Linked DNA regions of Lepisosteus oculatus. The protein of the gene in region 2 purifies or fractionates together with the protein of the main gene of each other region. This does not show direct contact. Links are inferred from orthologs where the notes say so. Each region holds a gene or a part of one and is shown on either strand. Other genes may lie near its edges.

The links.
Region 1: the proteins of mzt2b (region 2) and tubgcp3 purify together in Homo sapiens (affinity purification with mass spectrometry; 3 studies listed by BioGRID and IntAct, counting the BioPlex papers as one, with this or other methods). This does not show direct contact. The link is inferred for Lepisosteus oculatus from reciprocal best matches to the Homo sapiens genes MZT2B and TUBGCP3.
Region 3: the proteins of mzt2b (region 2) and tubgcp2 purify together in Homo sapiens (affinity purification with mass spectrometry; 5 studies listed by BioGRID and IntAct, counting the BioPlex papers as one, with this or other methods). This does not show direct contact. The link is inferred for Lepisosteus oculatus from reciprocal best matches to the Homo sapiens genes MZT2B and TUBGCP2.

The regions. Positions count from the first base shown.
Region 1 is NC_090710.1:26,104,436-26,109,181, reverse strand, and holds the start of tubgcp3 (gamma-tubulin complex component 3), read right to left. Parts: upstream 3,146-4,746; 5' UTR 3,000-3,145; coding exon 2,924-2,999; intron 1,203-2,923; coding exon 1,095-1,202; intron 664-1,094; coding exon 596-663; intron 1-595. UniProt on the Homo sapiens protein: Component of the gamma-tubulin ring complex (gTuRC) which mediates microtubule nucleation.
Region 2 is NC_090717.1:14,236,907-14,241,652, reverse strand, and holds the start of mzt2b (mitotic-spindle organizing protein 2), read left to right. Parts: upstream 1-1,671; 5' UTR 1,672-1,776; intron 1,777-2,493; exon of another isoform or gene 2,494-2,533; 5' UTR 2,534-2,536; coding exon 2,537-2,721; intron 2,722-3,757; coding exon 3,758-3,906; intron 3,907-4,746. UniProt on the Homo sapiens protein: Required for the recruitment and the assembly of the gamma-tubulin ring complex (gTuRC) at the centrosome.
Region 3 is NC_090699.1:17,553,576-17,558,321, reverse strand, and holds the start of tubgcp2 (gamma-tubulin complex component 2), read right to left. Parts: upstream 2,879-4,746; 5' UTR 2,729-2,878; intron 2,119-2,728; 5' UTR 2,110-2,118; coding exon 1,960-2,109; intron 975-1,959; coding exon 846-974; intron 750-845; coding exon 576-749; intron 158-575; coding exon 1-157. Other genes in the region: znf511 (zinc finger protein 511), read left to right, coding at 3,306-3,515. UniProt on the Homo sapiens protein: Component of the gamma-tubulin ring complex (gTuRC) which mediates microtubule nucleation.

The DNA.
Region 1 (4,746 bases), on a different chromosome or scaffold from region 2:
TCCTCTGGATGTGGGAGGCAAACCTTTCCCTTTTCCACATTTATCAGAGAACTGAAATTCCAATTTACCCTGTTTATGTAAGCTGAACACTATTAGCTATGGTGGTAGTCTGAAACGGAATATTACCAAGGAATTATATTCAATTACATATTTTAGTAATGGATTTTGCATTCTGCTGAAATAGCATTTTTGCAAAAGATCCAATTTCATATACTACATTTTGCAGATGTGACCAAAACACATCTGCAAATCTGCTTGGCACTATAATACCAAGCAACTGCTTCATATAAAACTAAACAGTCATTCAGTTCAATTCCAAAATAAAGTTAAGAGTTGTGCAGCAGCAAAGAATTTCAATATCTTGTACAAACCTACAGAGTCCATACAGTGGTTTTACCTTTTCAAATCTGTAAATATTTAACATTTTTCAAGCACTTGCATGATTAACCTAATGCCTCAAATGCCTTGCTACAAAAGCAATACCACCAATACTGGAATAGAAGAGAGTATTCAAACTGAAAGGTAATGTAGCCTTATCTGTTCTGCGTTTCATGTATTATCGTTTTGTTTTCAATACGTTTCTCAAAAAACAAACCTGTGACTGAAGTTTCCTGTGAAGCTCAGAAAAAAGTGCTGCATCTGCTTCTCTTCTTTGCTTCACAACTGCAGAAATAAAGTGCCTGTTAAATCATGATAAACACCACAATCACATTAAATATTAAAATGACACTATGTGACATGAATATGGCGTAATCTCCCAAATGTAATTGTTTTTTCTTCCCAGAGATAAACATTTGCCATTAAGAAAACAATAAAAACCTTTCAGCCCAGAGAAGTGTTGTTTAATTAAGATATAGATGATCACAATATAAACTGAGGTTTTATGGAACCGTATAAATGGAAATCTTAAGGGATACTGTTTCTGACACATACAGAAATCAAGTTTTCAGAACTTATAACTAGATGCACGAACTAAAAAAACTAAAAAATTACATACAGCATACTATTAAGGGCTTAATATTAATACTGCAATATTAATTAACACTTCTGAAAAAACATGCAACATCAAAAGGTTTTATTTTAAACAAACTCACGTTCCTTCTTGATCTTTTCACCTACAAGAAACTCATCCCGTTCAATTGTAGGAGCATAATTACTTCCAATGACTCGCACAGCATACTGGAACTGGTGGGCGACATCGGCTGAAAAAAGCAGAAGATAATTTTAATGACAATAACTACAATCCAACAGATCCCGAGATTACAGGCCACCACAGCAAACTGAGATATCACACAGGTGGATAATGTCACAGAGATTTTCAGGCCTTAAAGAAAAGAAAATTCTTAAGCTCTTAAACTCAGCTTTCAACCTCAACATCCTGCCATAAGAAGGAACCAAATTGTGTGTGCTTTGTGACAACAAGACTGTGACTCCCAGCAAATCTGAATCATGAACAAGTGGGTCTCTGCTGTGATGCCATCATGTAAGTATAAAGACACTAAAAATGGAGAATGTCACTGAGCCCTACAGACAAAGGGGACCAGAGAAGAATGAGAACAACAAGCAACCAAATGTCTCAGATTTAGGCCAATGTAAATCACAATGCACCATATTCCTCTTTCACCACATGAATAAAGACCTTGGTGTTACAGCTGAAGAACTTCCTTAACAACAGTCTGCCAAGAATACAAAGAATCAAAAAGCAGCAAAGGCCTTCATGAGGAATAATACCTTCTTTGGCAGCCAGTGAGACTGTTCTAAATGCAGTCTATTCATTCTTCCCTAAAACACCTGAAGTTACAATGTATTAAAAAGTACATGAATAAAGGGTCCTGCAATTTCAGTTAGAAACGACTCTTCACAGTTACAGCTTCAGGCACATTCTGGATTTTGGTATACAAGAATCAGTTGCTTTTTAAGACTAGAGATAAATACAAAAAAATCATTCCTGTGTTATTTAAACGTGAACTGTCTTCACCCCCATCTGTTCACCTTCAGTTGCAGGGAGTCCAGATAAACCACTAAGATTCCCCACTGAGAGGCTGGGTAGGGAATGAGAACGCTTGAAGCCATGAACTTCCCCCCTTGACCTCGGCCAATTTCCAGATCACAAACTCCCTAAAAGCTCACAAACAGTAGGATTTACCAACCTATTAAGGTCCGTGCTCATACTTTTAGTTTTGCATCTGACAAAAATTCTGGGATCATATTGTGCCAATTAAGATGCAGCTCATAATATCCGATATCGGTTATAAAGCGCTATTAAAGGCAGTATATAAGATAAATAGCACACTGGCACAGGAGATTACAAAACTATACGCTTGTGAACTGGAGTCTTTCAAATAAAAGCACTTCTTCATCACATTACAATAGCAGCTCAAGGACAAAGGACTTTTTTTGCTTCTTTGCCAAAGAAATATATCCCTACTTTCTTCCATCTTTATCGACCTACCAATCATGTCATAATTTCATCAGGGCCAATTCTCCAGCCAGTACATTCACTACAAATAGAAATGGTAAATGAGTCTTCCCCCAACTAGCAAGATAAAAAAACTCGCCTGCTGCCGGCCATCGTGAATTAAAACCGCGTAATTATTATAGTTGTTTTTATCAAATAAAATGTGTCTAACGATACCAGACATCTGCTCAAGAGATGAACACTGGCCTGTTCTGCAGATTTCAACAGTCAGAGAAAGAGGGGACTGTTAGCGAGGAAAGGCGCTTTATTCACTACTCCGTCAAAAAAAACTCCTGCTTCCAACGTGGAAAGACGATCATTTAGGCGTCGCCTTATTGATTTGTTTTCTGCCAATATGCTTACTGTAAAAACATCTACTGACTCATTCTCTGTGCTCATGCAGTATGATGTTGAACTATGATGGAACAAGCACGTTACTTAAAATATTCCCCTTGCCGCTGTTACCTTCGCTCTTCCCAGTTATCCTGCAACAGAGACTTTGTAGCAAGACGTTGGGCGATTTTTGATCCAAGCCTGCCATATCAGGGATCTGTCTGACACGGCTCCGGGTCGCTGTCCAAATCTACCTGCAGCCGTTATTTTTGCCGTGGCTTTCCGCTCTTAGCAACGGCGCCATTTTCGCTAAACCCGCCGACAGCGCTCTTCACTGTGTTATCTATGGAGGTGTCCCATAATCCTCCGAAAGGCAAGGGAGAATCGAACAAAAATACTGCCCTCCGAAGAACGAGAAACGCAAGAGTGGTTCCTAGCATGACATCAGTTCCTACCTTTTCTGTTTTAGGCGTGCGTTGGGGTTTATCACTTAAGAAAACGAAGATAATTCAATTTTCACGACTGCACTTGCCTTGCACGATCGTTCTTTTCTTCGACACGTCAAATATCGTTTGGGGGAGTTTCGAAAGGTGAAGATTGTAGATGAAAAGCGTTTATATGGTCTTTAAGAACATTTTGTTCACAAACGTGTCGCACCTGATGAAAACTGGTTATATTCCTAATCTGGCAAAAAGGTCTGAAATACAATAGATCCCATAAACTGCATTTATCTTCTTTATTTCCACTAGTGTTTTTGCTGTTTGCAATTAAAATAGTAATATCATCAAATTTAATATATAATCTGCATATTATCAATATTCTGAATTAGAATTGACGTGTTAACGACCTGTTCTTGTATATTACTCATTGTACTTGTGTGATAAATATAAATCAATATTATTTTGATTATTTGATTTCAATATTAGTTGTATGTATTAATAAGGAACAGAACGTAGAATCCAAAATATAAACATACAAAGTACATTGAAAGTGTTATTTATGCATTCAGTTGTTAATATTTTATTACGAATGACTAGTGTTTGTGGAATATTTGTAATAAAAGATGAAAAAACAGCAATGTAACAAAATTCAATGATTTCCATTTTTTTAAAAGAAAATCGTATGCTAGCTGTCAGGCAAGTAAGCAATCAAGTCAAAATTTATTACAAAAAACGAATTAATCCCAATAACAACGATATAATACTTTTGTTCTCTTGCTAGCTTCGGTTGCTTTCCACAGGGCGCAGAATAAATGAAAACTCTTGAAGACGTTTTAAGAGTTACTCCAGCATGTAAAGGATAAATAGGGAATATAAAGTAGTCTTTAAAAAAAATAACGTTATCTCTGCTGACAATTGTTTCCTTTGCTGCGTTAATTTTAACAGGAGACAAGGTCCATTAATAACTAATAATAATCAGGAAAAAGGTATTGATGTATTGATGATTACACTGTTCAGCAAGTGGTCCTCCATTAAGGATATGTTATAAGTTTGATCCATGGACGAGCTTCAGCCTGATTAAGTATTTATTTTTACACTCTTACGTTTGATTCGGCTGCCTCATTGTCACATGGTGTTAGATACACATCTCAGTTTAGAATGCCAAAGACGTATGTCCATGCCCTTGTTTGCGTTTAGCAACAAAGTGTGGAAGATGAGTTGGTAACCGATATGGTTTGGATGCGGCTCTTGAGTTATTTCTAAGTGGTTAACAATCGCTGAATTTGATTACATATCCTATACATACCCCACCCCCCAAGCCATATTCAAACCCTTCTGTTGTCTTACATGAGCAAGAACACTATGCAGACTTTACTGATACAACCTGGTGCTGTCGATTAGTATAATTTTACATCTTTCTTGGATTTATTGCATTTTCGTGCACCTCTTCAAAAACCTCAGATGGTGTCAGCTTTGGTATTAACAAAACCCTGGATTTTGCTTTCTTTGTGATTA
Region 2 (4,746 bases):
GGTAAAAAAAAGCTCTGTGTTGAAATACCCTACTCTCATATGTGTACATCTCGATTCTTCCCCTGACTGCACGGTAGACACAAAGCACTGAGACATGAGAAATGTCAGCCTCAATGAAAGCTTTTAGATGTTTCTATAATTGTTCTGGCAATAGGTTGTTTTGTCAAGTCATACTTGACATATTGAACACTACTGTGATCTGTGATAAAAGTCAGAGAGCATTTGATTTAATTATTTAGCTGATTGCGTTTCTTAACTAGAGACGGAACAATACCTTTCCAGAGGCACGGCTCAGTGATAAATGCAAGTGGACATCACCATGATAGTGATAAACGCGTTACACTAAATTTCTCCATTTAATTTCAACGTCGTGCCTGCTGCTCTTGAAATATAATTACAGTTAGACAAAAGGAATGATTATATCCTGTTTTTATGAGAAATGGAAGTTATATTCGGGGCGAAGTTTATGATAGCTGGCTTTAAAACAAAGCAACACCTGGTGATCCTTTTTTTTTGTTGGCAGCTGAACTAAAATTCGTTTAGTGGAGTTTGACGCCCTCTACTGGACGGATTGGACGTCCAGATTCGGTTTATCGTCTAAAATCAGATGTCCAGATGTTATAATAATAATTACTCACACTTATATAGCGCTTTTCTGGACACTCCACTCAAAGCGCTTTACAGGTAATGGGGATCCCCTCCACCCCCACCAATGTGCAGCCCCACCTGGATGAATTATAGTTATACATTTTTACTTCAAGGTATAAAGGTATGTGTGCGGGTATTTGACGTTGTAGACCACAACCAAAATTGATCTTGAAATCTGTGCAAATGCGACTGATTTATTATGGTAGGATATGCCTCGGAATTATCCATGTTCAAATAATTCTCGTTCTGTCCTTTATCATTAATTAGTCTGAATCTTGTATCCAAAAAATCATCCAGGCGGGGCTGCACACTGGTGGTGGTGGAGGGGATCCCCATTACCTGTAAAGCGCTTTGAGTGGAGTGTCCAAAAAAGCGCTATATAAGTGTAAGCAATTATTATTATTATTATTATTATTATTATTATTATTATTATTATTATTATTTTATTGTTATTATTAAAAAGCGACATTCATCACTATACATTTGTAGAGCTAGGTATATAGTTTACTCTAGGGTACAACAGGAGTATTTTGGGATTTGACCCGACAACCTTTCTACAGATCTAGCGAGTCATTATCTGCTGTTCATCAGAAATTAGTCCAAATTGTGATAGATAAACGATCGCTGTAATTTTTATGTCAGTCTGTGTGACGATAAACAGTGGAGTAAAAAATGGACAACATTACCAACCATGAGTGGTAACATCGGAGTTATTTTAGTTCGACGAAACAACAACAAATTACTAGAAGCAGATTTAGCATAATTCATACAGAAAAATACATTATTTTATTCGTTTATTTTTGGGAAAAGCGGAAAGCGAACTGGAAAATAATCACACAATGACATTCAACTTCAAACATTCTTGACGTTGTCATTCAACATGCCTTTCGTTAAAAAGGTTATCATCTTATATTATTTAAAAATATGTGCATTGATTATTTAAAGTAATTTTGAAACAGGACCGTCCAGCAGCGGTTCACATGGCACACTCTCTGCATGAGGAACTGCGGTGCGCGATCGTGTTTCCACTCGGCTCGGAGTGTAGAGGAGCACAGATAGTTTCCACCCGAGAAACTTTCTGGGTGGGACCTGCGTCGTTACGGAATTGACAGCTGTGTTATCTTTAAGGTAAGAAACATATACTCTATTAAAATGCCAGCGGTGCTATATCTCAGCACGTTGGCTGAGTTAGTAAAGGTGATGCAGTGTGTTAGCCTTAGAGAGTTTGTTTTCCTTTTTGTAGACCGAGCGAGTTTCTTGGATTTGCATTGATGAAGCAGTTGTACTCGAGCCCTGTTTTCAATTCACACGGAGTTATTCAGAATCACTCTCATTGATTCGGAATTGGCGAGCGGGCAGGGACGAATATTTGACTGATTCTAAAAACAGGTGATGCAGAAAACGTCCCTGACTGGTGTGGGATCCGCTTTGACCACCAGTAATAAACGGGATTTTGTGCTGATCTCCGCGATCTGCCGTTCATGTTTGTGAACTAATACGAACGTCCGTAGAGCAAATTAGAAAACATGATTAAACATTATTCATTAGGGCTTTTGCAATAGCAAAGCACTGCGAATATGGGGTTAGAGAGGCATGATAAGCAAAGATACAAGACACAAGTCTTGTCTATAAGATATGATTTTTAATTAAACGAAACAAAAATACCTATTCTTTTTTGTATTGAAAGCTAACAAAGTACGGTATTTTCAGTGGCCTTTAGGCGTCCTGCGAGACGTTTTGATTCCTCTAGGCAGGGGGTGTAAATATGGTCAGGTTTTAGCTAATGCTTTGTGCAGGTGTCGATGTTTCTGCTCATACTCGTTAGTCTCAATCGACAACGTGCAGCACAGAAACCGGCAGCGACGGGGTCTCTCTGCCCTGCCAGGGAATGGCGCTCTCTCAGCAGGCCGCCGCGCTGGCGCCCAGCCTGGAGCCGCCCGCCCTGGTGGCCACGGTGAGTGGGAACGTCCAGAAGTACGCCCTGAAGAAAAAGAAGGTCCTCAGTGCGGAGGAGACGGACCTGTTCGAGCTGGCGCAGGCGGCCGGGATCACGGTGGACCAGGAGGTGTTCAAGTAAGGCCCAGCAGAGCACACACACTGGTTCTGTACTGCTTGCTTCCCCTGCTGGCCTTTCCAACATGATGAGCTTCAGCTCAGTCTATTTGTCATGTGCACAAGTGCACTGAAATGCTTATTTGCATGTGCACTCCGATACAGAGCGCATCAGGGTGAGCCAGCGGTAGGGGTAGAGTTCAGTAATCTGATAGCTTGTGGGACGAAACTGTCTCTGACTCTGGAATTCATCCAGCCATCTTCCAACCGCTTTTTCCAGTTCAGGGTCATGGGGGAGCCAGCGTCTGTCCCAGCAGGACACACACAGACACACACAGACACACACAGACACACACAGACACACACAGACACACCAGGGCCAGTTTCCCCAGAAGGCAGTGAATGTTTTTGGACTATGGGAGGAAACTGGAGCACCTGGAGGAATCCCAAACACAGGGAGAACATACAGAGCACACATAAAGCACCCTGGGTCTGGATTGCTGTCCGATCCAGCGATGCTAATCACTGCACCACTGAGCTGCCCTACTGAAACTCACTCACATGCAAAGCTGAATTAGAACTGCAGTGGAGGGGAGGGTATAATGGAGTTCTACATAAAATGGATTTGCAAAGATAAAGATTTTTGATCCTTTCTTAATGTGGGTTCTGAGAGCCATATAAAGGCCTCCACGCTGTTGGAAAGCATGTGGTTTATTCCAGAGGGGTGTTGTACACATTTGCAAACAGTTCCAGGGTTAAAGTCTATCTGAAATACAGCTCCCATCGGATGGCTGATCTGCGTGTTTCATAACCTTATAGTGTGAACAGAAGTGAACAGCATGCCCAAGAATGTGTATATATTCATTCAGTTTCTTTTGTGCTGATTCATAATGCATGGTGACTTTTGTGGAAGAACAATTGCTGATCCCCAAATTTTGGGGATACAGAAAGGAACAATTTTAACAATTTTTTAAAACAGAAGAAACCTGGAGTATGACCTAAAGCAATCTGCGACAGTGTTAATGTCTCTGTAAACTTTCATGCGGTCTGTCCTCAGGATCATTGTGGACCTGCTGAAGATGAATGTTGCTCCTCTGGCCGTCTTCCAGATGCTGAAGGCCATGTGTGCTGGACAGAGGATCGCTGACACCTCGGCTGGGGAGAGTTTGTCTGGGTCCCAGCACATTGCGGCCCCTGAGCCCAGAGGTTAGACAGTGGGGGCCAAACAGGTCATGGTCAGGCTTAGGGGCTCCATGCCTTCCTCTGTGAAAGTTTACATTAGTACCTATTATTGGCAGTGTTGCGCTTTTATTATGGTGTTCATCTGGTTGCACACAAACCTTTCCTGTAGCCCTGCCATGCTGTAGGTGTGTTTTATTATACTATGTAAAGAACGTGCCATAATGTACTGTAGCAAATGTTCGTAAGTGTGTGTAGCGTTCAGTTAGGGTCTAGCGTAATAGGGCAAAGTGACCTGATAAAAACGTAGAAAAACATTCACAATACCCAAGTGAATTAGTGCTGAACACCATAGTAAGTAAGCAATTATCATTCAGCTTTGCTATGGTGATCACTTGCTTTTCATTGCTACAAGCCTGGCTTCTAATCCTATGGAAAAATATCAGAAGACAAATCTTTAAATATATAACGTTATCCCACAGCATCTTGATGCCACCAAGACTTATATTTCTTCAGCCTGGGCTTAAGCTGGAAGGGCTTGAATTGCACAACATTATTTTGGGTGATATTTAAGATTCCGGCTCTAGGTTCTTAGTGGGATTGGGGGGTCTCCGTAGTAATGCAGGCCACCTCCTGCCTTTGACATGCTAGGTGGGTATGTGACTTGAACGGCAGTGCAGTCTGGTGATTCTGCCATTGCATTGGCCTTTAGCACTGTGTTCATTTACAGGTGCTGCTGCCTGAGCCGCATCTGCTGTGTTTCTGTGCAAGCAGACCGATGGAGCTCAGACTGCTTGTCCTATACTCTCACATAGCTGCAGCACCCATTGCCTTTGCTAGACAGTCAGAAACTTGCTTTGCTGTACC
Region 3 (4,746 bases), on a different chromosome or scaffold from region 2:
CAATAGGCACTGCTGAGTCAGTCCCACTGGAGCCGGTGATAAAATCCCCAAGAAGAGCAGGCCTGTCGTACACCCAGTTGGGAAACACTGGAATTGGCTGCAGGGGACTCTTCTTATTGTGTCTGTCCCTCAGCATCTTCCTCGTCACCTCGGAGGGCTACAGGAAGTCAGGACACACAAGGGTGGAGTCCCGCCTTTCTAAACGTATTTACTTTGCTCCAGTAAACTTAAAGCAATCAACATAGAAAAATGCAAAAGGAAATCCTAACGCTAAAGCTTGTGCCGTGCAAAGTTAGAGCATGGGACACAACATTATTCTACAAAGGTTATTCCCGACTGTACAAAAGGTCTCTAACCATACTCCTGGGAAGCTTAAATGGCTTCTGCTACTAATTCGAGGCAACATTTCAGCCAACTTTTGGTTTAATAAGCCCATGTGAACACTTTCTTTCAATCACAGACTGGGGCTCTCTGTTGCCAGGGCTCTTCAATACACACAGCAGTGTAATGTCTCTGACTTCTTAATCACAGGAAGACAGAAGAGACTGAGGAGCCTAAAGAGGATATGGGCTTACCTGCTGTACACTGGAGCTGGCTGCCACATTCCCAAGTTTCTTCCTTAGCTCCTCCAGCTCTTGCATGGACATCTTTGTGCTGGTGGCAGGGATGCTGAAGTTTGTGCTGCTGGAGGAGGCACTGGCTGACTGCTCAGATCTTTCCTTGGCATTCTGCTGTAGACACTGCAGGGTCTAAAAAACAATGAAATACCCGCATTTACTGTAAGACTGCTACAGCCACGTCCCTCACATCAAAGTGTTTTTATTATCTGCAGGTACTTCCATCACCTCCTTATCTTCAGTCAGCTTGGACAGCAGGTAGACCAGAGGATCCACGTTTCGCACATTCCTGGATTTGAGCTCATCGTATTTCTTCAGGAAGTCTTCTGGTGTCTTAGAAAATTCCGCTATTTTTACCTGCAATGAAACATTTTCTCAGTCAACCGATAATTGGCTGGTTAAATATTTCTTTTAGAAAAAACAAGACTGATGCAAAACAATGGTACTTTGAAGAGATAGCCAACATGGATTTAGAAAGGGAAGATAACTTACTGGAACTTGCTGAACAAGCAGTAAAGACAAAAGTTAACACAAAAGTAAAGTAAAGTTTCTATTTATCTTTAGGCCAGTTTCTCTTTCCTATATCAGCTAATTTAGATTCTGCTATATTTCAGAAACTAATTAGATTTCCAGAAAACGCAAACATAGGAGAGGCGCCCCACACAGAACTTCAGCTACTGAACTACAAAGACACACGGATGAAATCAAGGACAAGGAATCACGTGATTGCACATGAAGTTTATGTCAACAGTGCAATCTGATCCACAGAGGAACACACACTACACATACAGTATCATAATACTATGGGTGACTGTGACCTGCAAGAACATATGGATATGGAAGAGACAGATGTGTTTATGTAGCATTCTCTTTATTGGCTGTGGGGAAGCAATGAAAAAGCACATACAGTACAATGCTTGCTACAGCAAATATTGTTCAGCTTTAATTAAGAGACAAGGACCAAAAGGGAATATGTTTAGGATTAAAACATCCTTTAAATGAAGAATGGTGGTTTCTGGAGCAGGCTTCCTAGCTAAGTGGTTGAGGATCAAACTTTGTTCTCCTTCAAGAAATGACTGGATGAAATGTTAGATTCAGCTGATAAACTACAAGCACAAAGCTTGACAATGAGAAAACGAGTAAGAAAAACACCTTGATTTGCACCTGGTCTCCCTTTCATTGGAAGGAACGTGGGTTAGAAAACATAAAAAGCCTTTGCATGTCAAGAGAACGGTGCCAGTCTTAAATCCAGAACTTTAAACGTCGGTAGGACAGAGTGAAGAAACCGAAACATGTGACAGCAGTCTGCTCCACAGTGGCCGATATTACCCCCGATCCCCACCTTGGCGCTGTGCGCGGACACTGTTGTGGTGACGTAGGGAGTTCTGTTCTTCTGCAGCAGGTCGATGTACACCTCGGCTCCATCTCCTCCGCGGACATGCAGCAAGCTGAGCAGCTCGTTCACGTCGTGGTGAATCCGGAACTCGCTCATGGCTACTCTCTAGAAGGGGAGAGGGAGACTTCCGAATAACCATGCTTTACAATAATAAGGAAATAAAAATGTATAAAAGGTCTGGTGGCTTTTTAATAGATGGAAAAGGTGTATAAAGGGATTTTTTGACAGTAGTTTTGATGCAGACTAGACGTGGTTGTCACTTTGAAATGTACCAGGAGCATAAATTACGGGAAGAAGACACTACTTTGAGGAGAATCATACAAAGTTACAAGAGCTGAACGGGTACGGATACAGCAGTACTGTACAAACATCCTGCTTGCGAATTATTTCTCCAACAGTGGGCAAATACACAGATGATGCATGTACACTAGTAACAGATTTTGTCAGTAACCTACCTTTAGGACACTCTAGATCGTTAAAAGAAATGTGTACTTATTTGTTGTCTCGGTCCAACGATGTTTATACTGTATTCGACCACAAACTAGACCGCTAGCATCTAGAGTGAGTTACACACAAACAGCAAAGATGCTGAGAACACCAGCACATCGGATACACAAATAAACCAGTAATTAATAATTCGTCTTTATCTTCGGTTAATGACCAGCATACTATAATACAAATACAAGTAATAAATGTGTCAGCCAAATGGACTTACCGCCCCTTAGCAGCGCGAAACACAAACACTGCACTTCGCTCCGCCCTGTAAAAGCTTCCGCCACTGCAGGGAAACAGTATCTCACCAAAGAGGTTCCTCCCCGACACCCTCCAGTCCACAGCCTCAAGACTGTAAGGAGCAAACCGTAAGAACATTTGACTTTCACAGTCAATGGCTGATCCTCTTTTCATGTAAAAATGGTTTTGGATACACATGAAATGTGTATTTCTGCATGTGTTCCCAACGTAATCATTTAATGTTTGTTTTTGTTTGGCAATAACTGAAACTGCTGAAGCGTTTTACACTCTTCCAAGGTTGCTGTAAAAGTGCAATTGCCTTCCAGATGTCGCAAATAAATTGAGATTTCAGTCAAAATTAGTCCTTTGGAGCAAACGCAATAAAATTGCTCAAATGTTTTTTCGGTTACATAGGAAGTGTCCGTCTCCATCGCCTCTAACCCCAGGAGCAGCAGGACCACGGAGACACCCTGAGCTGGGCCGCGCCTGCGTCATGAAGTGTAGCCGAGGAAGCGCAACAAATGACGTAACAGCAGCGTGCTTGCGATATTGTAACTGACATGTTGCCGCTCGAATTAATCCGGTTTTTAACAGCAGCAGGCACCAGCAGCACCGACATTCAGGCGATACCAGTCCTGCCAGTCCAGCGGATAGCAGAAGAGCCCAGTGCGGTACAGCAAGTCAGTGGCGATGGTGAAAACGTCTGCAGCTCGCCTTTTGATTTCACTCCGCAACGAATACGGTTAAACAAGGACCACGAATTATTTGAAGTACGTTTTTTTTTCGAATTGAGTAAGAACTGTGAATTAAGCGACTTAATGAGACTTGGTGCTGCTCAGTTCCCATGACTGCTTGCTGTATGTGTGTGTAGGGTGGGCTGTGCTCCAGGGTTTCTACGCCTCGGCAATCTCTGCAGTCTCTGCAGCTGCTCCAGTGCTGCTGTAGCTCCGACTGCTTCCCACCGAAAGCCTTTGCATAACTCATGCTTTCGCTACCTATTTCCGTGTCACTATATGTAATGTGCTCTGGAGACAAAACATGCAAAATATGGCGGTGTAGTTTTTTTATTATACTTTTTTCATCTTTAGAATCAACATTTTATTCTTTTAATTCATAATAAACAAAACAATCGGAAGGAAATAAAATCGGTCTACCAAGAAAGCAATAGGAATTTTCCATGCAAAAACTGAGACCAGCCTTCTCATTATTTTTGTATTCCGGTCTCCGTGAGTCTTTGTGATGATGCCGTTGTAATAGAAGTTATTCAGTATACAGACCGGAATGCTCCCACAGGTGTGCGGAGCCTGAAAGGTGCTCCAGTCCTGCTGGCCCAGGAGATCTGATGAATGTTGTGGGAGTGCAGTTCATTAGCAGGGAGACGCGCTGCAGAAAGACGGAGATTGAATTCCAGTGTGGAATGAGTCACGCGTGTCGACTCTTCTTGAGTGGGACCTGTGTCCGTAACCTTGCTGATGTTTTTATATTCGACTGGACGATATTTTTAATTTACCACAACTCAAGAGTTTCAGAATTAGTTAAAGAAGCATCTTGAAGTGTTTTAAGAATCCGTTGGATTCTTGAAGCCTAAAATGATATAGGACATACTGTAAGGGGACGTGATTGCTATCATTTTCGACAGGCATGGTGTCTTTCCTTATATGGCTTAGTGGTTGGCACCGTTAAGCCTTAAAGGATGAAAATACGTGATGCATCTTCCAAAGGGTGTTTGCCTTCTCATCTGTATAAAACCTGAAAATCAATAACAGAAATTGTTAGTTCCACGAAGAGATTGAGAACTCATCTGAAAGGCATGCAGCAGACACTTTGATGCTCTTGGGCAGCAGTGGGCATTCCTGCCCCTTTCTTTAAATATCCAGCTGCTTACAGCTCAGACAATGGTCGGTGTGTTTTCTGACACATGCAGGCGCGACCGTGCAGGAATGGGGTTAAACAGTGGTGCTCTGTGGGACTGATTAAAGCTGTGGTCCTCGTGACCTCGCA